3 linked regions of the Styela clava genome follow. The protein of the gene in region 3 interacts with the protein of the main gene of each other region in a biochemical or structural test. Links are inferred from orthologs where the notes say so. Each region holds a gene or a part of one and is shown on either strand. Other genes may lie near its edges.

Evidence for each region.
Region 1: the proteins of ras GTPase-activating-like protein IQGAP1 (region 3) and cell division control protein 42 homolog form a complex in vitro, tested with the Homo sapiens proteins (6 studies listed by BioGRID and IntAct). The link is inferred for Styela clava from reciprocal best matches to the Homo sapiens genes IQGAP1 and CDC42.
Region 2: the proteins of ras GTPase-activating-like protein IQGAP1 (region 3) and RAF proto-oncogene serine/threonine-protein kinase-like form a complex in vitro, tested with the Homo sapiens proteins (2 studies listed by BioGRID and IntAct). The link is inferred for Styela clava from reciprocal best matches to the Homo sapiens genes IQGAP1 and BRAF.

Annotation. Positions count from the first base shown.
Region 1 is NC_135256.1:6,373,411-6,384,641, reverse strand, and holds the start of cell division control protein 42 homolog, read right to left. Parts: upstream 3,845-11,231; 5' UTR 3,824-3,844; coding exon 3,719-3,823; intron 2,737-3,718; coding exon 2,664-2,736; intron 1,934-2,663; coding exon 1,824-1,933; intron 1,448-1,823; coding exon 1,250-1,447; intron 1,162-1,249; coding exon 1,069-1,161; 3' UTR 1,062-1,068; intron 1-1,061. Other genes in the region: something about silencing protein 10-like, read right to left, coding at 9,510-9,707, 9,945-9,999, 10,702-10,784, 10,971-11,174. UniProt on the Homo sapiens protein: Plasma membrane-associated small GTPase which cycles between an active GTP-bound and an inactive GDP-bound state. In active state binds to a variety of effector proteins to regulate cellular responses. Involved in epithelial cell polarization processes.
Region 2 is NC_135256.1:7,210,420-7,221,563, reverse strand, and holds the start of RAF proto-oncogene serine/threonine-protein kinase-like, read left to right. Parts: upstream 1-6,937; 5' UTR 6,938-7,037; coding exon 7,038-7,133; intron 7,134-7,672; coding exon 7,673-7,774; intron 7,775-8,765; coding exon 8,766-8,853; intron 8,854-9,172; coding exon 9,173-9,271; intron 9,272-10,111; coding exon 10,112-10,218; intron 10,219-10,730; coding exon 10,731-10,843; intron 10,844-11,144. UniProt on the Homo sapiens protein: Protein kinase involved in the transduction of mitogenic signals from the cell membrane to the nucleus. Phosphorylates MAP2K1, and thereby activates the MAP kinase signal transduction pathway. Phosphorylates PFKFB2.
Region 3 is NC_135257.1:7,266,012-7,276,502, forward strand, and holds the start of ras GTPase-activating-like protein IQGAP1, read right to left. Parts: upstream 4,036-10,491; 5' UTR 3,907-4,035; coding exon 3,729-3,906; intron 3,021-3,728; coding exon 2,921-3,020; intron 2,703-2,920; coding exon 2,468-2,702; intron 973-2,467; coding exon 828-972; intron 1-827. UniProt on the Homo sapiens protein: Plays a crucial role in regulating the dynamics and assembly of the actin cytoskeleton.

The sequences.
Region 1 (11,231 bases), on a different chromosome or scaffold from region 3:
TAGTTTGTCCTGTTTTTTTTTTTGACAAAATGAAACCTTGTCAGCTACAGTTTTATCTGGGCCATAGACTTTGTTGCTGGGCTTTTTATATAAAAAAGCTGTTCCGAAGTTTATCATCATGACGTTATTTTCATAAATTTTTCAGCGGAAATTCATATCCATAGAAACTATAGTCTTAATTTCAGCAGACACAAGCAGGCCAGGATTTGCCCACCCCTGCTCTAACCCACTGCTCAACTCTTTAAGTAAAAAAGCAAATACGCCTACAGGACATGCAGAGAAAAATAAAACAAAAAAATTACATGCTAAATGTTTTTGATTGGTTCATCGATACCAAACTCAAATTTCCCCCTTGTCAAGCAAATTTCAATCAGCATAAATCATGACCAGAAGGACAACTTTTATTAAAAAGTTCCTTAAATAAAGAAGAAATGAATAGACAATTATCGCATTACAATAGGATTTAAAATATTATTCTTTGTTGCATACAACCATTCCAATTGACGAGATTCTATCTTAGTTAGAGCTACCTAGAGAATCAAATGAAATAATTCTGTGCTATGCTATGTAAAAATACACAGGCTAAAGCGGTTTTAGAAAAGCGAGCTAATGCACATGCAGAAGCAATACACAGCGCCCAGTGTTTTTGAATCGGTTTTTATCATTTGGAGAGTAATAGCTCCCAACAAATTCATTGAGAGACTGTAGAACAAAAGGAATATGGCGTTTGAAGAAAATTCTAGTCTGATTTCAAGAAATCATAGGTCCACTTGCTTGATTATTATGATAAATCAAATTACAATTATTGATTATTAAATTAGATACAAAATTGCTCAATATACTATTATCGGAAATCTTCACAAGAAAATGAGATAAGTAAGCATATGCAAAGCAAATAAAAATAGCATTCAAACGAAATACAACATGAAAAGAAATATAGTTTCTGTCCTCTATAATCATCATTCAAGAAAATAGGGATAAATTTATGCACAAATACGTAGATAGAACTGAAATGGATGCGGAAATATTGATCAGGCAACCTTCATACCACAATTACGTACAAGATTGTTATAGCAATTCGCAATTTCCTCGTTTCTTCTTTTCAGATGGTGGTTCCAAAGCAGCCAAGATAGCCTCATCGAAAACATTTTTCAAGCCTTTCTGCATGTTGATTAGCACAATTTTTATATTTTGTGATAACGGGATATCAATTAAAGCTATGTAGTACCAAGACTTAATAGTTTCTTACCTGTGTTAAAGCAGAGCATTCAACATATTTTACAGCCTTTAATTCTCTAGCGAGTTTTTCTCCCATTTCATGAGCGATGGGTTTTTGCTTATTTTTGGATAATTTCTCGATTGTTCCAACATCGTCGCGCAAGTCAACTTGTGTACCGACAAGTAGGAATGGTGTTTTTGGACAGTGATGTGTTATTTCAGGAACCCACTATTGAACATAAAAAGTTAAAATTAGATTATTTCTATGATTTAAAAAGTCTGTAGGAGTTTCCAAATTGCTTAGCCCAATAAAAACATCAACTGTTGCTACCGGGATGGAATTTACTTGCTTATATCGTTGCCACTTATAATTTACTAATGTGCAATATAAGTATATAATTTTATCAGAGCAAATTCAGTCAAGACAAAACAGTAACCTTCACTTTCTAAAACATCCTCACATATTATCAACAAACCACAGCAGCACAAAAGCATAGACAAAATTTAACTATTGGTACGTAGTTCTGCAAATTGACAAAAAAGGGCACTGAAAAAATGCTGGATCTTTAAATCTAGTCTTTATGTATGATCAGGAGTACACATACCTTTTCTTTAATATTTTCAAATGAGGATGGGGCAACAACTGAAAAGCACACCAAGAATACATCAGTTTGAGGGTAACTGAGTGGCCTTAGTCTGTCATAATCTTCCTGACCTGTGAAAGAGAATATTGTGTTACAACACATAATGAAATATTTATAATATTCGTAAGCCGTCCTTCAATACATTTAAAAACTGGGTAAAATTAACATTACTTCCACAATATGTGAACTGAGATGGCGAACACCGGAACGTAGTATGTGTACCGACCAAGTTAGGGTTAGGCAATAATTTTATTCCAGTTTTCCCTATTTTAGTTTTTTTACGAGTTCGGGGACTAGCCAATTGACTCCCGTAGTATTTGTTACTACGGGAGTACCAAATTAACAGCATCTGTTTTGGTCAAAATTTGCTAGCTTGTTAGGAGAATAACTAATTTAACAATGGCTGACAATTTTTATTAGTCGATAATACTTTCACTATGCTGTGGTCTGTGGATAATGAGGCACATTCACAAGAATGTAGTGGGATGCTCAGTGTGTGGCAGCCAAACAATTTTTCCATCGCTCACCGAGTACATAGATTGATTAGGTAGGTATAGAACAGACAAGAACTGAGCTTGACACGGTTGATAAACTAGATAAGCCTAGGTAAACATATTTACAGAGGGAATGATAATTTGAGATTATTGGCACCCAACTCACTTATTTAAATTAGTGAGAAAATCATCAGTGGGCGGAAAAACAGTAAAAGAAAACGACTAGTCATTAACAAATGTTTAATTGACAGAATGCTTATCCGTCTATTTAATGAGAGTTTTTACTCATCTCAAATAAATATTTCACCTGCTGTATCAAATAATCCCAATGTATATGGTTCTCCACCAATCATTACAGTGACGGCATAATTATCAAAGACCTAAAAAAACAGATTATATTTAAATATTTTGTCTCTATGTAGATATTTACCAATCTACGACATAGTTCTCAGATTCCAAGAATAGCCCCCATTTCCTAAAGGAGTCTGGGTTGCCATAAAGGTAAAAATGGGCATACCGGCGCTGCGCAACAAGCTAAAAGAAAGCGCAATTTAAAAACTTCACTATTGGATTCCTCAAAAATAAAGTCAGATTTACCCACAGAAAAAAATTTCCCTGTAGCATTCGGGGTTTTTGGAAAAAAAAGGAAATTTTGGTCACATGACGGTGGACACATATTAGAGACGCACGTTTCAGAGTCAAATTGAGTGTTTTATTTTATTGGACCAAATTTCTGGATATCTTGGAATCGGAGAAACGTGTCCTACTTTTTGGTACACAATTGCAAATTATTTTCCCTGAACTTTCAAAGCATCAATTTTTCCAATAATATTTAATTCAAATGTGTTATTCATATATAATATCATTGAATAATGATGGCAAATCTGAATAGTTAGAAAGCAAGCCACTGCGGTTGCCAATTTACATGCAAATTTACGTAGCGTGCTGAATATATATAGTTTTAACTATAAATAGCCCGGTCCATCATGCGCCCTACCAGTAATAATCACAATGGGTCATTGAATACATCACTTAAGTTTTTTTTTTTTTGAAAGCACTATTCTCGTTTATACCAAATTCTTTGAATATTATGTTACAAACACTAAATATACAATTATGAAACAAACTGCAAATAAAGGCTTATTGTACATCCATGATATTTTTATGCTGTACCAAGAGAGCCATAAAACGACAGAAATTTCGTTGTCTGGAATAAAAATATGCCATGTAGGCACTTGTTTTAAGGATTAGAATATGTTGACAACCCCATTGTTTACTTGCATGAGCTCCCAGTTATTTTAGTCAATACCTGAAAAGAAAATAGATAATGATTCGCATGCATCAAAACAGAGAATAGCATACCGTTGGCACATATTCTGATGGAAATTTATTTGTTGTGTATGAAATAAGCAAACAGGTTTTACCAACAGCTCCATCTCCCACAACAACGCATTTGATGGTTTGCATATTTATTTTATTCAATTAACTCTATGGAAGAAAACAAAAATATTAGTTAGATAGATTGAACTTATGGGTTGTTAATTCAATTTACTATAGATTGTGTAACCTCTGGTTAGACTTTACGGGCCAAGCATAGCTGCACATTACTTTAGTTTCCACGAGTCTGAACCCGACACCTGTATATGGTTACCATTCTTTTTGGATTTTTTTCATCCCCTAATAAGCATGAGAACAACCTAAATCAGTGGTTCAGTAGATTTGATTTTGCCCGCATTATTTCAGATATTCACGTGCCAACCACATATTTTCAACATGTTTTTGAATAAAACATACTTTCGTCTTACTATCTGTTATTTGTAGCTTATTGTTAGTTACCGTAGCTACTTTTGAGGGGCGCAAGACTTGACAAATTCTAAAAAGGGGCGCGGCTTAAAAAGTTTGAGAATCACTGATCTAAATCAATAAATTTAAGTTTCATGACATGTTAGGTCGAGGAAAAATAAAACTAAAATATACTCCAACCAGTAAAGTCCTGATTTTAAAAGTACTTCAGTAAAACAATATCATCTACAAAATTTTCCATTTTTGACTATCAATAGTTAATAGTATCTATTTATTTCTGATTCCTATTGTTATAGTGTTAGTTCAGACAGTAATATAAGACATCATATGAAAGACTATGTGCCAGCTTGAGAGATGATTCATCCCCCCACATGAGATGACTCAGGGTATTGGTAGTCCAGAAATCACTGGGTCAACTAGTGTCAGCAGTCAGGCAGAAAGACAGATGTGCGAAACGTACCTATATACTTTTGCGAAACATTTAAATAAGTATTTATGATTCTGAAACATAGCCTGAATCGAGACATCTTTATAAATATGAATTTGAAAACATATTTGTCAATAGCCATGGAAACTGATTTTGAAATTCAGTAATATCTGGAACTACACTGTTTTGCTTGGTTTTCAAATTTGCATGCAGTGAAGTAAAAAATAATTATATATATATGGCTTGATTAGCTGGACAAGTGCTAATTTTGTTGCAAATTGCAATATGTATTAAAAACAGTGTATTATAAAAATTTACAATATTGAATACACACTTCAACTAATTTTAAGAGTATACAATTTCAATATCACTGGCTGGTTATGTAAGACTTAGGTCCTAAGTTCCAGTTGGCTCTTTTTGCCAGAAATATGTATATTTTAGTAATACGGTAAGTCAAAACAAGTTTACTTTTCTTAAACAATAAAATGAAAATCAATTGTACACAAATCATGAGAAAATGATAATTACAGTGGGGTGGGATGGGAAAATCACAGGGAACCAAAGCTGGTTAACAAGCAGCAACACTTATTATCTAGGACCTAGGTTCTAATCATGGCACCTTACATGCTTAAGAAACGTCAATGCTTTTTTTGGAATATCGTAGATGACTAAACAAGATTTTTTTATCGAGTTTTTGCCACTGAATCTGTAAAAATGCGCTGATTCAAAGAAGCATATTTGAAAGTCCAAGTCATATATATTGAAAGCAGTATTCACAAACAATACAGTTCAAAGTAATAACATTTTATGAGGTTTTATTGCCATGGTTCTAATTTGTGACAGTAATAAACAAATCATGATTGTATTCAAGCATTGATTTTATGGCGATTGTTAAATTTGTAATAAACATGTAATCAATAACAGCTATTGGGGTGTAATAACATAAAAATTTCCCACTAGCTTATGACAGTTACTTTTGTCTACCATCATCTGATCAAAGAAAATAATGCTTGTCGCTGAGGATTTATGCTATGGGTATTACTTATGGGTATTACTTACAATTTGGCGTGGCAAAAGAATTTATTCATTTTTTATTTTTTTAATTTGTTTGTATATTTTCCTTCCTTTTTACTTTTAAGTCTCGCTTTTTTCGCTTCCGACAGTATCATGTCTCGATGATTGTGTGTGTGTGTGTGCGTGCGTGCCTTCATTAGTTTTTTTTTACTTTTGGGTGAGCGAACACGTACTACTTCTTTTATCAATACCTTTCCATCTAAAATCTGTACGTTTCAAACCTTACTCTAGGTTTTGTTCGCTTTCCCGATTCTATAATCAGTTACTTTTACTTTTGTTTTTATCTATTTTTTTTATCGTCTATTGCTGATTATGGAGTCGAAATAAACTTATACTTATACTTAAAGACAAAAATTTGAACACAATTGACATTTGGACATATGTCAAAAATAAGATCTGAGTGCGTGTTCTTTATGTCACTCATATCCATGAATCTTGAAAAGTAGGAATCGCCAGTCTACTTACTGACCTAAGAAACTGAATGTAAAACCGTGTAACTGCAGAACTGTATACCCAGCTAAACACACAGCCTCTATTACACTATGTCTTTAATTTGAACATGAATAGTTACCATTACCCAATCTGACATAGGCCTATGACAGTACAATATTTGAATATACTGATATAATGTCTGAATGTGGCATCACAGTTTCACACAAAAGTTTAGAGTGGCATCACACTGAACAATTTTTTGTAATTATTGATTATCCTCATTTCATTCAACGTTCAACATATCTCTGTTCATCACATATTCTTTCGACCCTTTTCTTTTGATTATTAACCTAATTAACTTCCGGCCTAATTCCTTCCTTGAGTGATAAAATGTGTGTTACTTTCAGCTACCTTGTGCCTACCTATGTGACGACGCTGTTCGAGTAATATAGCGGAATACCTGGACTACGTCAAAATTCGAAATCCGACAATACTATTGTTTGAAACATCGTAACTAAGAAATAATTATCAATGGGTGTAATACTAAAAAACGTAATGGTGGTATCGCCAAGCACAGCAGGTCCGAAGAGCGAAACGTATCAACATAAAGATAAAAGCCAATTGAGGAAGCTAACAAAAGAGTGAGAATAGTTGCTGCGTCGTTTCTCTTTCTTTCTATCTTTCTTTCTCTTTCATCAATGGGCGGGCGAGGCGTTCCGGGTCTGACTGACGCTTTATCAGGGGCAGTATAAATACCGGCGTCGCCGTGAATGAACCTGTCAGAAATGGTTTCGTTACGTAGCTCTCTTGGTCGTGATTTGGCTTGCATGATGTCAGCGCTTGGCTACATCAGCGTACGGTTGTGTACGTTTATTGACGTATTATGTCACAACACGTTATGGATAATTGATGAGATTATACAATAAATTTGTACAATTACATCGACTATTATTTTTATTGTGAATACACCACTTGCCGTGTTAAACAGGCATTGATAACATAAACCATTTAATTTAACTGCGACTTCACCGAAGTCTCTATTATGTCAAGTTGGGTAACAAATCACACAACCTAATTGGCCGCCCATCGCTTCATTTATCGATTTTATCAGCAAGCTTATGTGTTCCAAGCCATCGTTCGCATAATATTGCAAACTGTAGTTTTTTTTTTTTATTTCTCTCGTACGATGTTTAAGAGCCGGATGTAAAACCTCCGTTTCGGCCTCGCACTGCTGGTGTAGTGGTATCATGCAAGATTCCCATTCTTGCGACCCGGGTTCGATTCCCGGGCAGTGCAAAGTTTTAATATTGCAAAAAGAAAAAATGAATGCAGACAGCGTTATCGACAATTTCTCAGGAAGTCAAAACATGCATTACGTCATAGACTTGTCAAACACGGAGATTGTCAATTGAACAAGTCTGTCTATGACAAAAACGTTTCAGTAATTGATACTTGAAAATGTTCATTGTCGTCACGCTTTTTCATTGCCAACAACATCAAAACTCATAGCTTATTCATTAACGTAGCACTCATCGACTGGACTACTTTGGATAGATTGTTCAAATTATTAATTGTATGGAAATGACACAAAAGGGAAATCCCGACATTAAGCAACAAATTACCAATGACAAATACGGCTGTTTCATGGAAGCTAGTTCCCTCGTTTATTTCCGTGACAATGACTAATCGGTAATTCGAATTCAAGCAGAAGCTCACTAGAACAACAAACGCACATAAATATTTAAATGACCAAACATTTCCGTAATTGGACTTCGTCTTTCTATTCTACCTGTATCAAAGTTAAGACTTTTATCACCACGAGTGCCTCAGCTAGATAACCAACATTGTTTTTTCGCGTCACCCTTCTCCGAGAAATGCCATTTTCATGTTTTTTTTCCTAGTTTTTGTTTGCATTAAGTGTATGTTCATTTTAGTGAATAATAAACTACTGAATGAACAAGGTCCTGTACAAGAATGCTATTATCTATAAGTAGACCTACCAGACGTCCCGGATTGGCCGGGACAGTCCCGGTTTAAACGTCTGTCCCGTCCCGGATAGCAAAATGTCCCGGTATTTTACTTTGGTGAAATTTTCAAAAAAATAACTCCCAACCTGATGCAAAATTATGAAATAATTCCGTCCCAAAAGGCATAACTTTGCTTTAACTCGAGGCTTATTTTAATATCTTAATTTTTTATCTTATTAGGTTGGATAAAATATCGCGCTTAGCTTGAGAAATCCTTTAGTTAGGGAATAATGAGTGACGTTTATTGCGTCATTATTCTATTGACTTTGATGATACTACAGCAATTGCTGCATTAGAAGCCATTTTAGGTATGCTTGGAGTTGGAGAACGCATAATAACTTTCATTTGATTTTGTTTGAGTCATATTATGCTGAGAGTAATCTAGAACTTGAGATTCTTTAGAATAATGCAATATCAAAGCTTATAAATATGTAATAAAAATTTGCCAAGCTCAGGCCTTCGGTCCATGTATTTCCGGGAGCCGTTTCCCGTCAGCAATTACATATCAACACGGTGAGTCCAAGTTTAGCATCTCTAGGTGATGTACAAATCGAGCTGGATTTTCATCGAATGTGTTGGAAGGACTATATCACCTTTTTTCTTCCACCCAAAGAATTTTAAACTGGCCTTTATTTTATATTAGGCGATTATGAATATTTGATCTGTGATAATTTGCACCACATAAAAAACAGATTTGACCAAATAGAGATCTTAAAGTTTTTATTTTAAATGAAAGACGACAGCGAGGGTGGTTTGACCAAACAACAGAAACAGATTAGTTTCTCACTTGTGATATTATACTAAAACTGTATCATATTTCAAACAATTCATTCATCGGGACATATTTTAACCATATCCCTCGATATGATTGCCTTCGAGGTATCTCTATAAGTTTGTTTGCCCAAAATTAGCAGCACATTCACATGGACATGGTACAGACACAGTTGTGCAACATGTGCAATGGATTTACTCCTCATGTGTTGCCTAATGTCAGAAGGAACAAAAATTAAATGATTGATCTGTATTTGTCCAGTTTGTAAAAATCAAATCACTGCACTCAGAGAACTTAGAAAACTTACAATGTTCACATTATCGACATTCGGTCACTGGTTTTTACAACTCCTATCTGTACCATATTATAAAGACTTCCCCACTAATCACCATAGAAAAAGTTTAACATTCTTGAGATTGCATACCAGATTTTGGCAACAAAAAGAAAAACAGAGCACGCAGATAAATCCAGTAATAACTCTCAAAGTCAATATGATCCACTCCACACTCCTGTAATGCTTCTGCCAGGAATCGCCACTAACACAATCAACTCACATCACTTCATCATTCGTTTGAGAAAGCTATTATGGAGATTCCATAAATTGGCCACAGTTTAGTCTTACTGCAGAGTTGTACTCTTCCTCAAACCTATTCTTATTCCTGAAGCTTCTCCAGAATATTTCTTTATCTCAGGCCTATATTCACGAACTTGTCCTCTTCTTCGTATCTTTGCTTTCCTGTATTTTTGTCTCATTTTGACACGAGGATTACGATCAATCTTCCGCCTTTTCTGACGAAGTCCTTTGTTCTTGGCAATCTGTTGACGAAAAAAGTTGTAAAAATGAGAAATGACAATGATTGACCAATTTGAAAATAACATAACTCGCTCGTGAAAACAAATCACAGCCATTGGAGGGTGCAAAGTCAAAAACAAAATAATAAAGATGACTTGGTAAAATGAATCACATAAATTATTGATCAGGCTTAACTAAAATTGTGATAAATCAATATGGAGTAGATCATTGTCTTTGTTGAAGAATACAAAATGTTTTACCTCATAATTTATTGCCCTTCGACCATTTGTTTCATCGTCATCATTGTCAGCAATTCTGTGAAAAAATAAATATTAATTAGAATTGCAGCGCAATAAAGTATATTTCAGTGGCATGCCTAAGGAAACTAATATAACCTTCAAATAAATAAAAATTTTCTCTATAAAATGTAATAAGAACTGCAATGAAGAATTGCTCGTTGCATGCCTGAAGAAACTAACATAATCTTCAGTTAAATCAGAATTTTCTCTGTAAAATGTAAAACTTTAACAGATGAAGAAACTAAAAATAGTAGTATTGAGTGACCTCTAATGCTCAACATTAAAATTAAAAATTCACAATATGCTTCATAACATATCATTTATAATTGAAGGAATTGGCCGATAACAACATAATGTATTTTTCAAGTGTATGTTTTAAAAAACACAGAATTCTAGTTCCGGCTGGTGATCCCTATTGAGTTTCAAATATTTAGGTTCCATTGGTCACCGGACTATTTTTATTCACAATGTTACTGTAGAATTTAAAGCAGTTCATCAATGCTAAACGCATATATATTACATACCTGGTACTCCCGTAGTGTGTGTACCAGCTTAGGGTTAGGCCTAATAATATTTCGATTTCCCTTATATTAGTTCTATTACGAGTTCGGGGACTGTCTGTGTTAGCCCCTGCCCATAGGTTTCAGTCCCTTTACACAACTTGATTAAAAATTAGTTACCTCAATAATGGTACACATACTTCTAAAGCGCCACTTACCTATCATCAGAATCATTTGATTCTTCCAGTTTTTCTAACATTGATTTGGAAAATTCTTGCACATCACATTCATCAGTATTTTCCTGAAAAATATGATGCATATATACCAGAATGAACAAAATAATGGAATGAGTTATTATTAATTTCACGACACGAAGAGAGATCATCCAGTAATAAAACAACATGAATTTCATGGGTAAATTTTGCTGACCAATCTGACCCATTTTGTGTATATACCTAACAAATGTTAAAATAAGTAGACAACAAACCTTGGGGTTCGACTTTCTTTTACGTTGTTTTTTAAATTCTACCACTTCATCAATTTTCTCAAAATCAGATGCTTCAGAACTAGACGCTAACTCTTCGCCATTTTTAAGCGAATCGTCTCCAAGGTTATTATTAAGGTTTTCTTTCAAGAGTTCATCTATTTCAGGGCGTAGTTTCTTTTCAATGGGGGACAATTGGTTGATGACCTGCAGAAAACATAAAACCATTCTTAATATGCATGGATATATTAATGACAACATAAG
Region 2 (11,144 bases), on a different chromosome or scaffold from region 3:
TTATCAATGAAGGTTATCATTCATTTTTTTGGGGGTGGGCACTTACTTGTACGCTTTTAACTTTATTTTAAGTTATGCTCGCTTCTCAGGTATCTCTGCATTTTGTTTGTCTGTTTACATTTTGTGTTGTTTATGTCAGAGAACCGAAATAAAATGATTGATTGATTGAAGTCGCTGATCTATATTATTTGTACGATATCTTTTTCATGATAGCGTTCCAGCCTTGCCGCTTCATCAGTCATTACCCCAGCGCTCACACTTTCATCTTCTATTTTGTCGTTGATGCGAAATTCGGATTCTCGAACTGACAAATACCACGCAAAACCACAAAAATTTGGATGAACACGTAGGCTACCGTCTTTCTTGGCAACGCTTCCTTATATAAGTTTGATGTGTTTTAAACCGTTTTTTCTTTGCTGTTTCTGAAATCAGTTTTTTTGTTGTTTTCGTTTTAATTTTATCTATTGTGTATGGGCGGTTGTATCAAATTGCTGGATTCCTCGCCGCCGTGGGGTGGTTCACGTTATAACAGCTGCTCGGTCACGACTGTTTTTGGCTGTGAGAAGCAGACGTTCTGTAGATCAGGTGGAAAACAGTTGATGAAAAAGCTGGAATCGCAGCAAAGAGTGGATTTCGTGGTTGCAGGTAATATGTTTACTATTACTAATATTAAAGGTCGTGGTTTAGTCACATTAGGTCATTGTGTAGTGCAGGGGTTCTCAAACTTTTGGTGTTGCGGAGCCCTTGAAAAGGTTGACTATTATTCACGGAGCCCTAGAACAAATGTTAAATTTGTTACTTTCAGATTAATATTCCTGAGCAAGTTAAAAGTACTTTACTCAATTTAAATGCTGAACCTTTTTTAATAAGGTTATTACAAGTCATAAATAAATCTAAATTTCAAACATAAATTATATATATATACTAAAGCTGTAAATTTGACACTTGACAAACATACTAATGAATTAGGGGTCGAATCTTTTCCCTTTTGACATTTTTGGAAGACTCAAAAGGCCGCTTATAATGTGCGCGATTGCATTTTGTGTGTTTTTGAACCTCTAACATCTTTACACCGATGTTTATTCTCCCTAAATCGAAAATTTCCCTCGGCATATAGGTACATGTATTGTTACACAATGAAGCGTTAATTGTTTTTTTGTTCTCGTGGGGAACTATGAGTTCATTGTGGAAACATGTTTCCATATTATAGTCATCGGCGACGAAATGATAAAAATAATAATTAATAAAGAGGTAACTCTGCAACTCAAATTTCTTGATTAAAAAGCAGTATTCTAAAATATTAAAACTAAAACTTAAAATGAAAGATCACACGTTTGGTTTCAGCCTCAGCAGACTCAGATTGAAAACGCTTTTATAGACATTGTAAATCATAAAATTTGGTATTGTGTTGGGTTTTCATGGTAGTAACTGCAAAATCGAAACACAGTCAATTGTGCGCGCGATGTACCTTTTTTTTCATTCTGAAACTACCGACGGAGCCAAATGCAATAAAATAAATTTCAATTGTTCGTATTTTGCCCAGACATTGTGATTTTTTAAACGATATCTTGCTTAAAAATAATCTCAAGTGCGAAAGAACAAATCGAGTTTGACAAATCTCAAGATCGCAACGTGAATTTCCTCACGTATTTTATGTTATTTTAGAATAGTAAACTTTTATTTTAGTAATCCCAATAGTAATCTCGAATCAAACGTGAGTAACGATAAGCACAATTACATTATAACGAAGAGACACGTTAAATACTCGCATCAGTCATGGATTGAATATTTTACGCCACAGAAATCTCGTTATCCGTTTTTTTAATCGCGAAGAATGTTGCGCGGAACCACCTCCCTCCTAAGAATCCTGGCTGCGCTCCTGCTTATAAATAATGTCATTTTTGAATTCCGCCTCTTTGCCATATTTCGAGGCTATATTGTTGTCAGATTTTATCAAAGCTGTTATTGCTTCTTTGAACAGGTACAAAATTAGTCAGTAATTTGAAAAGTAATCGAGTAGCTCGCGGAGCCTCTGGGTTTCTCTCGCGGAGCCCTGGGGCTCCGTACGGAACATTTTTAGAACCTATGGTGTAGTGTATGCTGTGATGCTCTAATGGAGTCTATTGCCGCGCACGTCAAACAGTCATTCGGCAGTAGCGGAGCTTAACAGGGAAGATGGCCGATCATGGGAGGGTTGATCCAGCGGTCACCAAGAGGGTTTGCTTCGTGGCTCAACGCTACTGCATTGGATATTTCTTATCACATGTTTTCTTTATCAGACAATGTCGCAAACATACAAAAGAAAATCAACCGGTGGAAGTGATCTGGCATTAGTTGAAAGGGCGGCAGAAGCGGTTAAAAAGGGATGCAGTATTAGGGCCGCAGCGAGAACATTTGATGTGGACCAAATGACACTCAAGCGATACATCGATGAACAAAAACACGACCCGCTTGGTGTAAGCGGATACAAGAATTGCAAGCTCGAGAATATGATATTCAGTCCTGAAATAGAAGCTGAACTGGCTAGTCACATCGAAACACTTGCAGCAAACTTCCATGGCCTATCCAAAGATAAATGCCGATGTTTGGCGTACGAGTTTGCAGAAAGAAACGGTATTGATGTGCCAGAAAATTGGAAAATCAACAAAAAAGCTGGTCTATGGTTTCGGCTTGGATTGAAAGCCCGCAATAACCTTTCAATTCGAAGTCCAGAAGCTACTTCGTTAGCCAGAGCAACGGCGTTTAATAGTCATACAGCGGGGCAGTTTTTTCAAAAACCTTGCCAAAGTAATGGATCAACACAAATTTGAAGCACAAGACGTATATAACGTTGATGAAACAGGGTGCCATACGGTGCTAAAGCCTGAAAGCATTGTTACGGAAAGAGGGGTTAAGCAAATCGGTTCTGTTTCATCGGGTGAAAGAGGTGAGCCGGTAACCGTAGTCAATGCGATCACCGCTGCTGGTGGATTTCTTCCGCCCTACATGATATTTCCCCGTGTGAACTATCGTAATTGCTTCATACGAGGTGCACCACTGGGATCTGGCGGTGCCGCCACCAGATCAGGTTGGATTAACGAGGAAACGTTTGTCAACTATCTCTATCACTTCATTAAGCATACACGCTGTGTACCCGACCGAAAGGTATTGCTCATCTTAGACAATCACGAGTCCCACGTTTCACTAAAAGCTGTTGACAAGGCGAAGACGAGCAGAGTTGTGGTGTTGACCATTCCTACATACACGTCCCACAAACTCCAGCCTTTAGACAAGACTGTTTATGAACCATACAAAAGCGACTACGCGCGCGCGATGAATAATTGGATGAGGTCCAATCCGGGTAAGACTGTGTCTATACACGATATTGCTCATTTGGTGAACGAAGCTCCCATCTGCGCTTTTGTACTGCGTAATATCCTAGCTGGCTTTCACAGCACTGGAATTATGCCTTTCAACAGCGACGTATTCTTGGATGAAGAATATGCCTCATCTTCAGTTACAGAACGCGAGTTTGCTCGGCAGTAGACAATGTTGAAAATGCGTCAGGTTTACAGAGTAATCCTGATACTCCCACGTACCAAAAAGATAACACAATTCAATCAAGCTGGCGTTGAGACCAATATTGGCTTGACTGGAGCAGAGCAGACTAGCAACGCAGAGACTTTTTATGTGTTTCCAGGTGATAAAAATACTACCTTTACCCAATGCAGGACTAAGGAAGGTGAAAGCTTCCAATAGGAAAAAAAGGAAGCTCGGAAATTTTGACAGACACACCAGTTAGAAATGAAATAGCAGCAAATCAGTGGCTAGATTAGAATAAAATAGAGCAAAGAACTACGGTCGGGTTAAAAAATGCTCTTTGCAAACAAGGAAACAGTTAGAGTGAGGGTAGCACCATCCGGATGCACCACTTCGAGCTAAAGTGAATCTGACGGGAATGTATTGTGCGATGATACTGATGACACAGGAGAAGAAAATCAAAATATTATTGAAGGCGATTTTGTCATAGTCAAGATAAGTGGAAAATCTCGAATTGTTCAATACGTCGCAAGAGTTGATGCTTTTGAAGGAGTGTTTCTCCGCCTGGTTTTAAGCGTAAATGACGGAACTACCTTTATTCTGGATGTCGAAGATGAAGCACTTTGGTCGAAGAAAGACATCGCAAGAAAATTAGCCATCCCCAGCATTATTGGAACTTCACACGTCGTTCACGTTCTCATTGAGGATATATAACTAATTGTATAAAAAATGGCTCATCTCTCCCGCATCTCCCCTACTCTGCGTGGGTTCGCAGGTTCGAAGCCCATTCAGGGATAGTTATGTGCGAGAGGATTGCTGGACTCCTCGCTGCCGTAGGGTGGTTCACGTAACCGCGTACGGCTTCCCCGACCATCAATTCTATGCTTCCAGAAACAATTAACTAACTAATTCTATACCCGACATGAAATGGTAACCGGACGAGAGGCCGTGGTTCGCCATGTGGTTAAGCGTAAATATATACTACTACGGGTTAAGCCATATTATCGACTTTCCCTTCCCCGGGATAAATATGTAAATCCTAATCCTTGGTAGAGATGTATGTCGCACATCTGTGTCTTGGGCCAGTAAGGGTTTTAACATGTATCCCGTATTTTTTACGCTGTTTAATTGATATGCAGATACTGTTACATTTTGAGGCAAATAAACATACATACTTATTATTTGGGTATCTCAAATCCGGTTCAACGAACCGGTTCTCCTCTGTCTGATCCAATGACTCTCCCTTACTTTCGGCAGGTTTATCTGTTGGTTTACTGGTTTATTGTCCTCGCTTTCCCGACTGAGCTACCCGAATACTTTTGAGTTGATGCTTTGTACAGCTTTACAGGCTCTATGGAATTCTATCATTTCAGTTGAACCAATGGACTTTTGGAACAACGCCAGAGTACCGGTACGGTACCGCTACCGGAGCTGACACAGACACGTAAGTTAAATTCAAAGTTACCGGTACCGTACCCTGTACCGGTACTTGTTTGGCTGTACGGTACGGCGTTATCCTGTTATTCCTGTACGCTGGTACCATTCTGGTGTTGTGATATCATTTTTATGAAATTGCAGTACTGCAGTACGTATTTTAGTTCAGTTTTATTTTCACTTTATTCCTTCAGAACTTTGAGATACGATTGGTTACCGGTACCGTATCTTTTGTCTCAATGTTTATTTTACAGATTGGTAGTAGTCTAAATTCTGAAATTGTATACCGTAGCTTAGATGGTGTTTCTGTGTAGTTTTATCTATTTATTTCCCAGATAATAAATTATGGATTCAGAATAGTTTGTGATCATCAGAAAGGGCACAGTTCTCCAATTCTAAGATGTCCCGACATTTGGTTTAATGAAACAAACACACTATTTGTCTCTTAAACGAGGGCGTCTGGCCCGACGGCGGATGCGTCAGATTGTGCCATGCTTGTCTCAATAATAATCTAAATTAGTCGCAGTAGTCACAGGACCTGAAAACTTTCAAATGCTACGTTAAAAAAATTCTCCTCCATTGAATTGGATCCTTTTTTTATGAAGAATCTAATAATTTTAAATTGCGCTTCCTGTTAGTTTATTGCAAAAGGCTGGTTTGTCGATTTATGTCAATATGGTGGCCTAGATGGTCTTGTAAAGGAGTGGTTTTCACTCACTGTTATAATTGATGGAAGGAAGCTTCAGCATAAAAGCCGACAGCAAGCACAGAATAAAAGATAATTCATATTACAGTATTACTGACTGTGGGACTTTTCTTTGAAAAAATAACCCGATTTACCTAAGGAAAAAATTTTTTACCGTGGCATTTGAGAGTTTTTAAGAAAAAACACCAATTTTGATCACATGATGGCCACGGTTAATTAGATTATTATTGAGACAAGCATGGCGCAATATGACTCATCTGCCGTCGTGCCAGACGCCCCTCATTTGTGAGACACTTGGAGTGTTTGTTTTATTGAACTAAATGGAGGGAAACTCTTGGAATTTGGATAGTGTGCCAGACTGTACTGCTGTACAACGAACCGATTGTCCTCTGTTCGATCTTATAAGAGGGTAATGAGCTGAAACACAGCATATTGTTAGAGTACAAGCATAATATATCTTTGCACCTGCTTCTGAATGACATCTTTCAGCTTAAAGAAGCGGGGCTTTCTAACTCCATTTTTATCGCTATTCAAATATTATTTCATATTCTTTCATTTTCTTATCACTATAATTTACAAAGAACATGCGATTTTGAAGTGCTTGGTAACAACTGTTTAAAGTTGTATTGAATCTAATTAGTCTGTAATATATCATTAACTGTGTCCCCCCAAGGTGTGTCAAATTGTCGCAGCAGATAGATTTTTTATGGGCTCTGAAATGCCAGACTGTAAACGCTAGACTGTTGTGCAACTGCAAGTACACTATTCCAGTTGTTGACTTTGAGCGCGTGTGTAATGTTAACTCTTGGATGTGGCAAATTGATTTATTTGCACTGGGTAAGGGAAATGTCAGTCTATACATTGTGTGAAAATTGTGAGGGGAGCACTGCTAGTTCAAGAAGTTGCTCACAAACTTGGTAAATCAAAGAACAAACAATATTAAGCCATATGCCCTTTGTTTTATGCTTGTTAGCAGAAAATATAATATTGTCATTTTAGTTTATCGATGTTAGTATCACCAGTGTTAAAAAAATCACAGATTCAGTGGTGATTCACTGCTCAGTGCCATTGCCCAACTCATTGAATGACTCGCATTGTCATTTCAACGATTTCCCTTTTTCTACCCCAATTTATCTTATCATATAATTTGTAACAATTTTGTTTTTTTGAAGCAATCCTTTTGAATAAAAACATTACACTAGCATAAAACTATACGAGCATGTGTACCAGGAGCTCATAGATGACTATAAAACACTAATATAAACCTTGCTATGACAGATGAAATATTACTAAATTAACCAATCAACTGATTAATAATGAAAAGTTATGTTTGAATATTTGATGACATATCACTGAACAGCACACTAGTAAATGCTGTATGGTTGGATCTTCTAAAAGAATGTCAACCATGACTCAACCTCTCTTTTCATCAGAGGGGAGGAGATCAAGTGACATCAGGAAGATACAGGAAGATGTGAGTGCATTGTTTAATATAGATCTGAAATATGTAATCGAAATTCTGTGTTGTATTCTGAATCCCAAAATGTGGCAGTTTATTTTGTATTCATGAAGGTTTGTTACATATTTCATATCTGGCTAACAATAAAATTAAAAGCCTTGTTTATGTTTCAACTTATCTTTGTCATATTTGCTGTTGTTCAAGAATGATTTGTGCCTAATTATTTTCCTCTTGTATTTTTACATTATCCTCCACAGACTTAAAAAGTGCATTTTTAAAATTTCATAAAAATGCAAGTGACCAAAATGCAGACAATGTCATACCAATATCACTTTTTATTTTACAAAATAACTGTTTTTTAACTGAGTTTTTTTATATAATATCAATCAGAACAATTTTTCAGGAAACTATGAATTTTTGAATCCGAATTCTACCCAATTTTCACTGACAAGTCCACTGACAATACTGGTTCCTCAGATGCCAAGAAGTTCGCTAGCCGTCCTCTAACAATATTTTGAGTGTAATGACTAATGATTCATATAATGATATTTCAGCTTCAAAATTTGAATGAAGTAATCAGATTGACCAAAGATTCCATTATCCGACTGAATGATAAATTTGGTGGAAATACGAACCCTCCGCCTATTTATCTTGAAGTAAGTATTCTCATTGATCATTGGTTGTGTATCTTTATGGTGGTTAGGCAAGCTGTTCTCATATTTCAGGATTTATCAAAATATCTGGTTTTTTGAACGAAGACTATTCTCCTTTTTATTCTTTGTAACGGCTTGAAGTTCAAAAGCCTCAGCAAGTACAATGAAATTGGTTTTGCAATAGATTTATTGGAACAGCTATGCTGGCTTCATTGTGGTTTCTGAAACTAATTTTGAATAGAAACCATAACCTGGTATCCAATCCAAATATCCAATCCAATCCAATCAGGCATAAATGAAGTAGATCAATCCCTTAATTAAGCAATAACTTTTTTTTAAAAAGCCAAGTTGAATTAAATTCATATTATGGTGTTTTTCATCAGTGTTCGCACTGACTAACATTTGCAAATGATGCCTGCAAAGATGAGAATCTATTTAAGGCTACTTATTATCTCTATCTTGATTTGCTGGATTTCAACCATGCATTAATTATTGATATGCAATGTAATTTGCTGTAGATGAAGTGGTTTGATTAATATCATGCCTGGGGTGTAGATAAAATAACTTCTGCCAGATACATCTTTACAAAAATCAATCTTTGTTTTACATAAACTTAATCTTCTCCCTCCTTCCAGAGGGAGCAGAATTTGAATGTCTTTTATTATTCCCTGTTCTAAATTTATATTTGCTATCTCTGATCAACGAAGCCTTTGTGTCAATATTATTGTTTTTGCAACTTTTTTCACTATATAAACGCCATGCTTTAATTTGACCTGTTATACTAAATATATCATGTGAAAATAGTGCATTTTAGTTATCAATATCTTGCTCAGGATTGGATGCAAGTATATTACTTCCTACATAACCAAAAATCATTGATATCAATGAATTCTTGTGAAAAGCGCAAAATTTTCCATAGTTTTATTTTTATGCTCATTTACCAGTGAGGTATATTACTGAGTGTAACTACCGTGAATTTCTTTTCTTATTCCAGGAATATCGTGAGTTAACGGACAAACTCGGGGATCTTCAAACAAGGCACCATAATCTCACTGATGTTTTGGAACAACAATTATTACAAGGTAAACAATATTTCATATATTCAGATTTCGAGTTTGGAGCGAAGATAACTAAAGCCAATTTTTCAACTTTCCTGTATTCATTTCAGAGAAAATCTACACAATAAGTATACTGTCTGCTGCTATATGTTAATATTTTTGTTTCAATGTAATCCAGTTTCATGCATGGATGCTATTTTCTATTTTCATGTTGTATTTTCAGTCAATTATTAGCATAAGTTTATGATATTTTATTCGGCAATTCAATAGAATTAATGATTTATTGATATTTGATTCTAGAGCAGTGTAAAACTATTTTAATTGGAATGTAAATGTTTTACAGGATCACAAACTAACTCATTTTCACAAGAACCATCCGGGGTGCAAACACTACCGGGCAACAGAATATTTTTCCCACCTGGTCCACAGTACGTTGGCACTGGTAAGTCGTTAATTTTAAATAGACATTTTGGATATAAATTGGATCTCACTGTAATTCTAGAAACTTGTATTCTAGGGTGTATATATGCAGATATTTATTGTGACTCAATTACAATGACTCTAACGTAAAACGTTAGTACTCCCGTAGTGTGTGTACCAGGTTAGGGTTGGGCCATAATTTTATTCAGATTTTTCTTCTAGAAACTTGTAATCTAGGGTGTATATATGCAGATATTTATTGTGACTCAATTACAATGACTCTAACGTAAAACGTTAGTACTCCCGTAGTGTGTGTACCAGGTTAGGGTTGGGCCATAATTTTATTCAGATTTTTCTTTTTTAAGTTCTATTACAAGTTCCGGGACTGTCTGTGTTAGCCAAGTGAATATACCCCCTGCCCATCGGCTTCCATTCCTTTACCCAACTTTATGTAAAGTAGACAAACAAAATTAGTTACCTTCATATTGGTACACATACTTCTGAAGCGTCAACTTTGGCGAACCATGATATTTTAAATTTCATTTAGATAAATACGAAAGTTTGGATATGATGATTGAGTTGAACATAAATAAATTTGTTTCATTGTTAAAACTGTAAAACTAATATTATTACCTCCTATTTCTAGTTAATGGAAGGAATCACTACCCCCTTAGTGGTTTAGGAATTTTTTTCAATGAATTTCCCTGTTGAATGCTGTGCAGCTGTAATTTTATGTTTGCCCAAATTGTAACTAATATAAACCCTGTAAAGCCAAATGCAATGTAAATCCTGCTATTTCTGCAAGTGTTTTCTCATTATACTTTAATCTCCACCCTACAAAATATTTTTTGTCTTTGAATAGAACCAGCATATGATACATCAGATGGATCACATCACAATGGCACAAATAATCAACTTGGAAAAACTGTGGGAGTGATCAGGATATTTCTTCCTAATGGCAAGACAACGGTAATCATTATTCTTAGGCTATTCACTCACTCTGCTTGTGATCACAATAAATCTGCAGTCATTAACTTCAATAATCCAATTACTATTAAAAATGCTGAAAAGTGTTGTAAGTTCAATCACATAATCCAGCCCGCGTTTCAACAAAATCTTAAGAAAATTTGCACAAAAACAAAATTGCCGATTTATTTGAAATATTAAAGTTGAAATAAAGTGCAAATCAGGAATCTCGAAAATTTAACTCGTAATTATTAATTTACAAGAAAGACATTAGTACAAATTTGGCTGTATTAGATATATATAAATATATTGCTTGGAAAGTTAAAACTTATTGCTGAAACAATGAAATGGCCAATCTTAAGATGAACATGTTGGATTTTCGCAAACATACATTTTTCTCAAATTTTCAGTAGCCTATATCTCTGTATTGCTCACTTTTTTCTCCATCTACCCTAATGACTGTACCATCTTGGCAAGAATCTTTTCTGAACACTTTTATCAATATTAAAATATAGGTTGGAGCCGTTATTGGAAAATCATTGAAGTCCCAAGTTTTGCAGAAGACAGCAAGATTGAAAGATTTGAGAGATAAAGCAGATCAATGTAGTGTTTTTAAGTTTGGAACGAAGTGAGTCAGTCTTCTCACAATAACTTTTTCATATGTTCTCGCCATATGTTTTTAGTTTATCGATTGGGTTTCTACAAGACCAACTACTTTTCCGTTTTCTATGCTTTTGCGTCGGTGGATCCGTATGCATATAATGCAAGGATGCTGTAGCAAGAGTGAAGATAACTATCCTGAGTAATTCAATAAATAGTCTTGCTGCACACTAACACAAATATATTTCTATATTTGTGTTAGTGTGCAGCAAGACTATTTATTGAATTACTCAGGATGTTTTTAGTTTGTTTTTATTTACTATCACCTT
Region 3 (10,491 bases):
GTCATTTGTTTACTGTCAGCCCAGATGAAGATTCAAAAAGGAATGTGGAATTCATTACTTCATGGCTATTTTATGTTTTATCATATTATTATTGACTCACTGATTGTATTGCTTCAGGTTGCATTTGAATTGGCATTTGCTAATGTGTAACGTACCATTATAATTATCAATTTTATTGCTATTGTGCTATTTTATTGTTTTATTGCGCATTTCAGCCTTTTACTTCGATCAGAGATGTGTTTAATTTTACTCCTGAGTCAGTGTTAGACATTATAGCAAGTCTAAGATGTAGGGGTTTTATGAGATGGAATTCACAATTGAAATGTATTCAACCTCGTTCCCTTTTGTAAAATATTTATAACTGAAGTGGAGAGGATAATAGGAATGTTCAAACGAATCGAATATTCAAACACATTCAAAATTCATTATATTTGAATATTCTATATCGAAAATTTTGGAATTCAGGAATAATTTAGAATGTTTTTATTTGAAAATTTGGGATTCCGAGCTGTAAAACAAGCATATCAAAACATATGATATCTCAACTGATAACAAACAATTAGCAGTGACTTTTATAAATATGTCGCTTCAGAATGATCAACATGAAGATATACAGATTTATATAATTTTCCACATGTACTTGCCTCCAATTTGGAATATATTCGATGTGTATTCGAAATAGTGAAATATTCGGTTTTGGCCATCTCTGGTATGATACTACATATCCCAGACTACTGTATATGTTACAAACTTTAATCAATGATATTTTTCAGTTTTAGATAGCCATCTAAGTCTGAAAAAGGTTGTGAAATAAAAAGATCACAAACCTGTGAATTCCACTTTTCCATACAAGTCCTGAATCTGGGGAGCGATTCCAAGGCGGAAAAGAAATAAACTCAGAGCATGAACACAGTAAATAGTTTTCGGCATGTTCTTACGGTCGTAGATATCCGTTGTTTCAGGGTAGAAAATCTGAAAAAGAAAACCCAAGTTATCAATTAGCTATATTTTAACTAGCAAATTACTTATTTTTAAAAAAATTGAATAATCCATGCACTTGACATTCATAAGCATTCAACATCTAATGGTCACAACAAAAATAAACTTTGTGTAACTTTTGACACTGACAAAAAAGAAAACCAATCAAAACTATCGGAACGTAGATTTCAATTAGGCTATTCGGAATATATTGCATCATTGAGCATCAATCAAATGTATTCAAAAAAGCAAATCTACAAAAATACAATTTTGCAATCAGTTTTTATACATGTGTCTAACAGCAGAATTCTATCAGAATTCAATCTTCTTTATTATAAATGAGTATTTGAACTGATGGGCCAAATTCTGAATATCAATCTACAAAGATATTCATGAACTTCAAATGTCTTATTAAGAAACGTTTTAGCTTGACACATATCATGATCAATTTTTTATTTATCATTTATTAATATGAAATCAATATAAATCAAAGTGTAGAAAGGCCACAGGCTAAACCATTGGCAAACAGAACAGAATGACAAAGATTTGTGGTTCAATGGCTGAAACAGGAAATGACTGGAAGCATGATCGATGCTAAAGAAAAACGCCCTTGCATGGAGCCAATAAAGCGCCGATTACATCATTCATACTATAAACTTATATTATTTGACCAAAAAAGGAAGTAGGCTTATAATGTTAGTTATCTGATGGCAACACAGTGAAGAATAAAAATATAATATGACAAAGCGTATAATAAAAATGTCGCCATCGTCAGACAAATCTAATATTAGAATTATTAGCGTCAGTGGGCCTAGCAATTTTCGCCACAAGCGAATTGATATAACAATATTAGCAACCTAGATGACATTAAAAAGGCCCAACGCATTTTGGGTAAAAGGCCAATTTACCACACAATGGTGTGGTTACACAATCGTTTTATTGTATTGAAAACCTGGAATTTACGCTGTTACATGCTGTTGGTTCAAACAAGGGCGTTTAAAAGTAAAGATCTCCAGAGTATGGAAGGGACAAATCTTTTATTGTGGAGGTTTGAAACAGTTCTTACTAAAGTGGAATATCATTATACAACTTTGATGATACCTGACAGTGTATTGCACAAAAGTTAGTTATATAGTGGCATGGTTTGAATACTTTGAAATAACATTTGTTGAATTAAGATTAATAAGAATTAGACTCAGCTCACAATCTGAATTTCCCAAGCATTAAATATTATCAATAAATACAATAATCAAAACACTACCTTTTTTTTGCACACCTACATTTAATCTGAATATCAGATTTACATATACACTATGCATTCATTGATCATGTTCAAACTAACTAATTTTAAAACCGACATGGACTGGTTACAGGACAAGACGCTGTGGTTTGCCATACGACTAAGCCCTCATATCGGCTTTTCTATTCACTGGGATAAATATATTAATCCTATCCTAACTAACCAACTCAATGACATAATAAAGCGTACCGTTGGTAATCCAGTCTCTTCCATTGCTTTAAAGAAATGATTAATGTTGTCAGTGTGTTTGAAATGGAGACCTTTCTGCTCATATTTTTTCTGATCTTTGTCGTACACTTTTCGGATCGGAACCACTTTAGGATTGAAAAAATGTGCAAGTTTTGCAAGGAATACACCATTTTGGAGACCTTCTTCCAACTGGACACTAGGCGGTAATTCCTCATTTATACAAGCTTCTATCCATCTGGAAAACAAAAGAAAAATGGTAAAATTGGAATATTGAAATGACAGCAACTATTAATCAGTAAGACTAAATCATACAGAGCAAATTGCCAATTAGCCATACTTTTAATACAAAATATGCATAGATTAGGATTAGTATATACGAGTACAAATATATGGAATTTGAAAACATATTTTGGAAGCTGTATTTGATACTTCAAATATACAAGGTCTTATTACCTTTTTGCTTCTTCCAAATGGCACAAATATTCATATGCTGTAGCCTGGTTACGCAGGCTGTCCATTTCTTCAGCCGTGAGACGTTCATCTTTGGTGATGCCTGTGAAAATTTGAAATTATTGAAATTGTTTCTTTGTTTTCATGTACTAACAATACATTCTCACAGTCATAACCTCGACCCGTTATATTAAATAATCGTGAATTAGAAACAATATTAATAACAACAGTTCTAAAATATTAAGGCTCGGCAGTGTGGCGCATCGCGCTAAGTGTTAGAAATATGCTTGCCAACGCAAGTCATATCACTCTGTGTAGGTTGACAGGTTCAAATCCTGTGGTGGATTATCTTTCCTCTCATCCGGGATAATATGTAAATCCTAAAATCCATAAATTCACCAGAAACATACACATAATCAAGCTATAACTCATATTGACATTGTCTTTTAAATAAAAAAAGCACAGAAAAATCATCTAACATTGAATTTAACATGCTCCATGGTCTTCATTGGTGTTATAGTGAACAAACAATAGGCTAGTTTCAAATTTTGGTTATATCATGAAGTGTCATCATGAGTAGGATAGCTAAAATGAAAATTCTTATTCCGCACATGGAAGTGACAAAAATTAATTTAAACCTTAATAATAAAGTGCCTCACATTAGCATACTCATGTAATGAATAATGATAAACATTGACTAACAGAATACAAAAACTAATGGTATAAACAAAAATTGTTGAAATGATTTGTGTGAAAAAACTAACAGCTTTTAATAACAATGTCCTTCCTGAGTTCATTTGTATATACCTACCAAAATCAGAAGCGCGTAGTGAGAAAGATAATTTCCTTGTTAATTGTTGTGATTTATCACTGGCTGTACTACTGCTTCGACTACGTGGTCCAGGATGATAACTTTGTTGGGCATGGGGGTGTGGCGCAGGTGTGTGATGACCATTAATTCCATTTTGTACAGGATGTTCTGAGGTCATTTTTTAAAAATCTTTTGTTCTCCCAAAAATAAGCTTGCAGACTTTATGTCTGTTATGTTCTTTGTTAATATCTACTTTACTACAATTTAAATTTTACAACCTTTGGAACAGGTTCATTTTGAACTGTTTTTACAATAAAACGAACAAAGTAAAATATATTTGAATACATATATGAAACAAGTTGAAATTCAAGAGAGTGAAGCCAAACTTGAATTATTTATCACAAACAAGAAAAATACTTTAAACTTTATTATTGTTTAATTCTTCAGAACATATTGAACTATTGGAAGGGTAAAAATAGTATAAACTAATCGATTGATCAACTTGGTTATGTTTGTATCACATTTGAATTGATTACTTTGACTAAATTGTGACAGGTCAGAAGAAACAAGGATAAAAATACCACCATTCTGCCAATTCTATGTCAAACTCAATCTATATAAAATATAACACCGCCAATTACCCTGTGCCTGCAATATACTACTCTAGAAAGAGCTGCAAACAAACTATGATTTTTTTTACCCCAAAATTTGCTAATGCATCTTATCTAAATTAAGTAAGCTAAATAAATGTTATTCGTCCTTATTATTTCTATTCCATAAACAAAAATGTTTCAGTAAAATTCCTTTCTACTCCACAATATCCTTCCTTACCACTCTCAGTTGGTGTCTCGTTTATGGCGTCGGAATACAGACGCTGATAATCTGCCAATTAGTCTTGTGCAAACAAAGAGAAAATGCAAAATACAAAGCACGTCTTGCTGGGAAATCCGCTTTTACTGAGAACCCGACCGACTTCAATTCACAAGTTTATTTCCGCGGGGAAAATAAACAGACCGGATCTATTTGTTGTTTGGTCTCTAAATAATTAGAGAGAGCAAACACAAACAAGTGCTTGACCGGCTCGTTGTTTCATTCTTCCTACTTCTAACGTATGAATCTATCTCTGATACATTCGGCCGTATGTTCTACGTCTCTACGATATGAAAGAAACCGACTGCGATCGAGGAGAAATTTTATCAACCTATAACTATAACATTCAGGTTATAAATAAGAACCAAGGACTTTCCTTATAAAACAGATATGCGAGACTATGGCGTGAGGTATACGCGGACTATTCAGGTGCAGTCTCTCGCATTCCATCCATCTCGACCTCATTAACATCGATTGAGCGCAATACAAAATTTTGCAGAAAGAGTTACACCCTAAGCCTAACAGTCCCCTCACGCTATAGTACCAGCTTAAGGTAGACCTCGCGCTATAGTGTGGTAGACCTTCACGTGATAACAGCAGAAATATATTTTACAATAAGAGCCTGAGCTGGGACGCAAGTCCGAAGATTCGGAAATAAACTTTTCATTACCAAAATAACAAGCGCAATTCGAATTTCCTAAATGCAGCATTATATCTATTGTGGAAATAAAATTAGCAACACAGCAGATTTATTTACAGTCAATAATACATGAACAAAAACCAATTGAAATGTAATAATGATGGGCGATGATGGCACACTCGAATGTGTAGGGCTGTAAGTTGTAACAAAGACTTCACAGAAATAAGTATTGCAACCATGCTTGAAAATTGTTAAATTTTGGACTTCGGACAAAATTTTGAACGAACGCTAATTGCATTGACACCTGCTGGTGAAATAATAATACCTGTTGAATATAGGAATAATTGCGCTCGGCTTTGTAATAGAAAACAAAATGTCCAGTTATATGTCGCTGAATTTTATTGTCTTCGTTATGGCTGTATGACATCACTATTCCATTTCTGTCACTTTTCATAAGGTCAGAAAATCAAACAATGAAAATTGCAATTTGGAAATGTCAGCGTTTTTATTGTTCTTTTTTCTGAAATGAAAATGTTATGTGCGATACGATATTCCGTTGCCTGATGTTACTGATTTCGAAGCTAGCAACCCAAGAATATTCTAAGTCCAGTTGTATTACTCCATACTACGTGACTGTCTATAAATCCAACAAATTTAACGCCACAGACGTGTCAGTAAAAGTTCTTCTTGACATATTATTCTCGTTCCTAAAACTGAAACTTGGTTGACTCATATGATTTCATTTCGTATCTACATCTAATTAAGTCACGTACAAGCGTCCATAAATTTTAGTCAGTACTGATAAAGCACGAGAATTAATTCGAAACAATATTATACTAAGATTCGCAGTTACCGGTAAGTACACTTACTGACTATACTTGCAAAAGCTTTCTCATATTAAGTTGACACTGTGCTATTCTATAAATGCTACTAATTTTGTCGCACAGACTTGATTTCCATTCAGATCAGAAAATTGGCCATCGACGACTAAATGAAGTAATCATTTTTCACATGCGCTGCGGTCACGATCAGTCTATCTAAAACGGTTCAATAATTGAACTTTCAATTTCAACAAATTTATCGTCTTCATATATCATACACACCAAGTACAAGTCGCGTTCTAATCCCGTATTCTATTTAATACCATTCGTTATAAATTGACATTTCCACGAGGGACTTGGCGAAAGAACATGAAATTCTTTAAAGTGGGCGGCTCTTGGGATTTCATTTTGATAAAACGACTACACAAGACGAGAAGTAAAGAGGAAAGACCTTAAATGACCTTTGATACATGTTCTTACACAAATACGTAAATAACGATATGCGATCCATGTCCATGATGTACCAATAAGAGAGGCATACTCTCCTGCGGATAAGATACACTCCACAAGCGTGGTTGACCAATGTTCCGCTCGGATTTCTCAAACGAAAACGATTACAACTACATACTGTTCGGGCAATTCGAAATATTCATCAAATTAGACGCGGTTCATTCAAAATCTAGCATGATCGACAGTTGATGGATATACTCTGATAAGAATTCAATGAACCTTTAAAACTGGGTTTCTTATGTTATACATATTACGTTTGAAGAAACAAGCTTCGTCAACAAGAAATCTTCATCGACGAATGAGTATGAAAGGCGATTAGCATCTCAGAAGCAGTTTACCGTGTTGTATATGAAAGCACCGTTTACTGGGCGAACCCTCAGCTTTGATAAATGTTTGACTCGAAGTTGCAGTTCCAATTTCAAATAGCTATTGCCAAAATATCCATCAAATGTCTTCGACATATTCCGACAGGTCGACCATTCTTGAGGTCGCAAGCGGTATAGCGATACAACTGGCTGTACTCTACTTTGCAGAAAAGTCATGCCTGCCATAAGTCAATCTCATCCCGATAATTTCAAAGTAAACATTAATCGAAAATTTGCACAAGTCTATCATTTGGCTAAAATATAATTTAAACGTTCCTTTTATAAATGGTGTTGGTTTTATAATATGACGCAAAGAGTTTCACTTTGCTGAGCATAAATCAGTAAATCTAAGCGCTAGCGTGTATTCGACAACATAGGAAGACAATTCGGCTAAATGCTAGGTCTTTCCTCCATCCTTATATATACAGGCCATGTTATACTAACTCTTTCATTTTCCATAACATAAAGCAGACGCTAAAGAAATTGGAGTTTTCCCTTAGTAATAAATGATCATACGCTCTTCACATTCCTCTCACATGTACAAAATGTATGTATTTTCTGGATACGAGTTCGGCTTCCCAGTGCAACCCTTAAAAGTTGAACGAAACCGGTCGCATTGTTGGCTAAACACACAGTAAGGAAAACGGGACGCTCCAACATGTCTATAAAATAAATACTTTCCATGAGAAATTAAAGAACTAAGCAAACATTCTTTGACTGGTTGTGTTGTATCGTCGGCAAATACAAATTTAACCAGTTTCCTTTACTTATTCAGAACGACAGTGCAAATTGACAATCTTCCTAAGTGATGTTTTATTTGGCGATATTCTCCTACTTGTCGCAACATGTAGCTTGTCATGGAACAACAATAGATTAATGACAATGACATATTCCACCAGCAAAATACTACTATACGCTGTCGGTTTGCGTTTTTTCCTCTAAACCAGTGGTTCTCAAACTTTTTAGGCCGCGCCCCCAATTTAGAATTTGTCAAGTCTCGCGCCCCACTTTAAAAATAACTAGCTAACAATAATCTACAAGTAACAGATAATAAGGCGAAAGTATGTTTTATGCAAAAACACGTTGAAAATATGGGGATGGAACGTGAATAATAAATAAATGAAAAGTTTAAAAAACAAATAGGCGGGCAAGATCAAATCTCACAATTATTTTTATTTAGCCCCACGCCTTTCAAAAAATTGTCTACGTCCCACCGTTTGAGAACCACCGCTCTCGACCCTCGTGATTTCTATGATATCTACTTTCTATACACTAGTAAAACTCCGCGAACGATAGTTCGAAATAATGAAACAGGTACGTCCTGAATTTTACTGTATGCCTCTGCGGTCTACAATTCGCAAACGAGCCTTGGAAGTTTCTAAATATAGCAAATCGAGAACAAGAATTACTTGGCAGTGTGAACAGTGTTTTGCAATCTGATCAAATTGAGCATTGCTGCAGCAACCAAAGTGGCTTAAAATTGATTATGATTCAAAAACAATGTGGAACAAACTTCAGTTTATGCGATAGGCTCAATGCAATAAGGTATGTAATAAACTGTAGATGTACGTGTATCGCGATATTGCCAATAAACCAATATTTAACTTGCTGACGAATCTTCCAGAATATAAACACAACCTTATGCGACAGACGACACACCAATATTAAAATTGAGATTGTATATATAAGACTACGAATTCTTTTGGTCGCCACGCTGTATACACAATCAAACTACTCCCTAATAATACATTTTCACATATATATGCTATATAAGGTTACACTTTCGTCAGTAGATTCATGAATTATATCAACCTGAGCATTCTGAACAAATTAACACCCTAAATCCTAAATTGAAGCTTGCCTAATAAAGCATATAATTTCGGTGGAAAACTTCCCATTATAGGCGTCATCGCTTTACTGACTCAACATCCAATACACAGTAAGACATAAGAGCGCATGCGCGCTAAATCGTTAGCATGGCATGAGTGCGGATTTCCGGAGTTATTGACTGAATGTGCACATATAATATCATGATACCGTCATGTAACACTCATTTCATGAAACGAGACGACGACACAACATTCAAAACATTACGATACTTTTCTTAGCTTATACATATTGATCTGATACATCGAAAGTGTAGCAATGGAATTGGATAATTTATTTCAAAAACCGAGCCAATTACCGGTAATAGGCAATAGCACTCTCGACAAATGCAGAAACTTGCGCCTCTTTCCGCGTGTGTCAACAAGCCCATACTTACGAATGGGAACTATTTCATGCTTACAACATTTAAAACATCGGAAATATTGGCAAGAATTAGGCCAATTGACAAGCAAAATTCTTTTCACTAAAACAACAACATATCATCAGCTTCGGTTGATATATATTTGAAGCAAGGTAAAAAAATAAAATAAAAAATATAAATGTATTTATGGCGCGGAATCGTTATCCATGGAATTTTTTCAACGCAAATTTGGAAACAAGACAATATTCAGAGATGAAATATACGACATTGCTTATTATTAATACTAGATGTAGTTTCATAAATATTTTGAAAATGGTTATAATGGTTTGTGAAAATAGGTGGCTACACAAAGGTTATATTACATTCTCGTTCTCAAGTCCCCCGTCAAGCAAAACACGATGCGCTTCTGGCAACAATAATCTACGTGAAAACGATAAGAATAATGCCACTAGGCGGGAAACAATCTAGAGCAGAAGGGCAATCGAAGGTACTTCATCGTTCAAAACAAGTGTTGGAAGTGCGAGTGGAAATCCAAAATTTACAAATACCTCGTGCTATTTGTCAAAAATTCAGGGAATGTGAGGTGAAAATAAATCCCATCAAGTGACTCGTGGTTGAATTGGTTGGTCAAAGTAGATCGTAGATGACAACCAAACCAACAACCAGCGACTAAATTCGGAATACAAAAGAACTGTGTGTAACAAAGAACGGTTAGCCTAGCGCACAATTGTCTAATATTAACAGCTTATTTCAAATAAAGATAGGAAATCACAAATATGTGTGATATTTGATAAATGAAATAAAACAATTTGATTTAAAATGCGTAAGGCAGATGCGGTGAGATAAAAGGAAATATTTAACATTATGATATTGTAATACTCCTTTTCCAATTTAGATTAGCCGTAGCAGAAATCAGTAATAAGCTATTCTTGGCTAAGCACGGTCATAATATATGGTCATTAGTAAATTTCTCATATAGAAAATCTACATAAATAACTCCACCAAACCGCTCGCAACAATAGTTCCAAATTTATAGCGTGTAAATGGTATGAGAATAAAATTCTCTATTGATTGATATAAATTTTACATTTATGTTGGTATACCACAAAAGCGTATCATGACAGTTCTTTTAATATTTATATTTACAAGTATTATTATGACCAAATCGGCTATATTTATGAAAAAAAAAGGAAAAACAATCAGACGAAATTTTAGGTAAAATAACTACAGCCGAAAAACTATATACTTTTCATTCATGGAGATTCGGTAGAAATACTTCGTATTGTAAAACATAATGCAGCGGACGAAA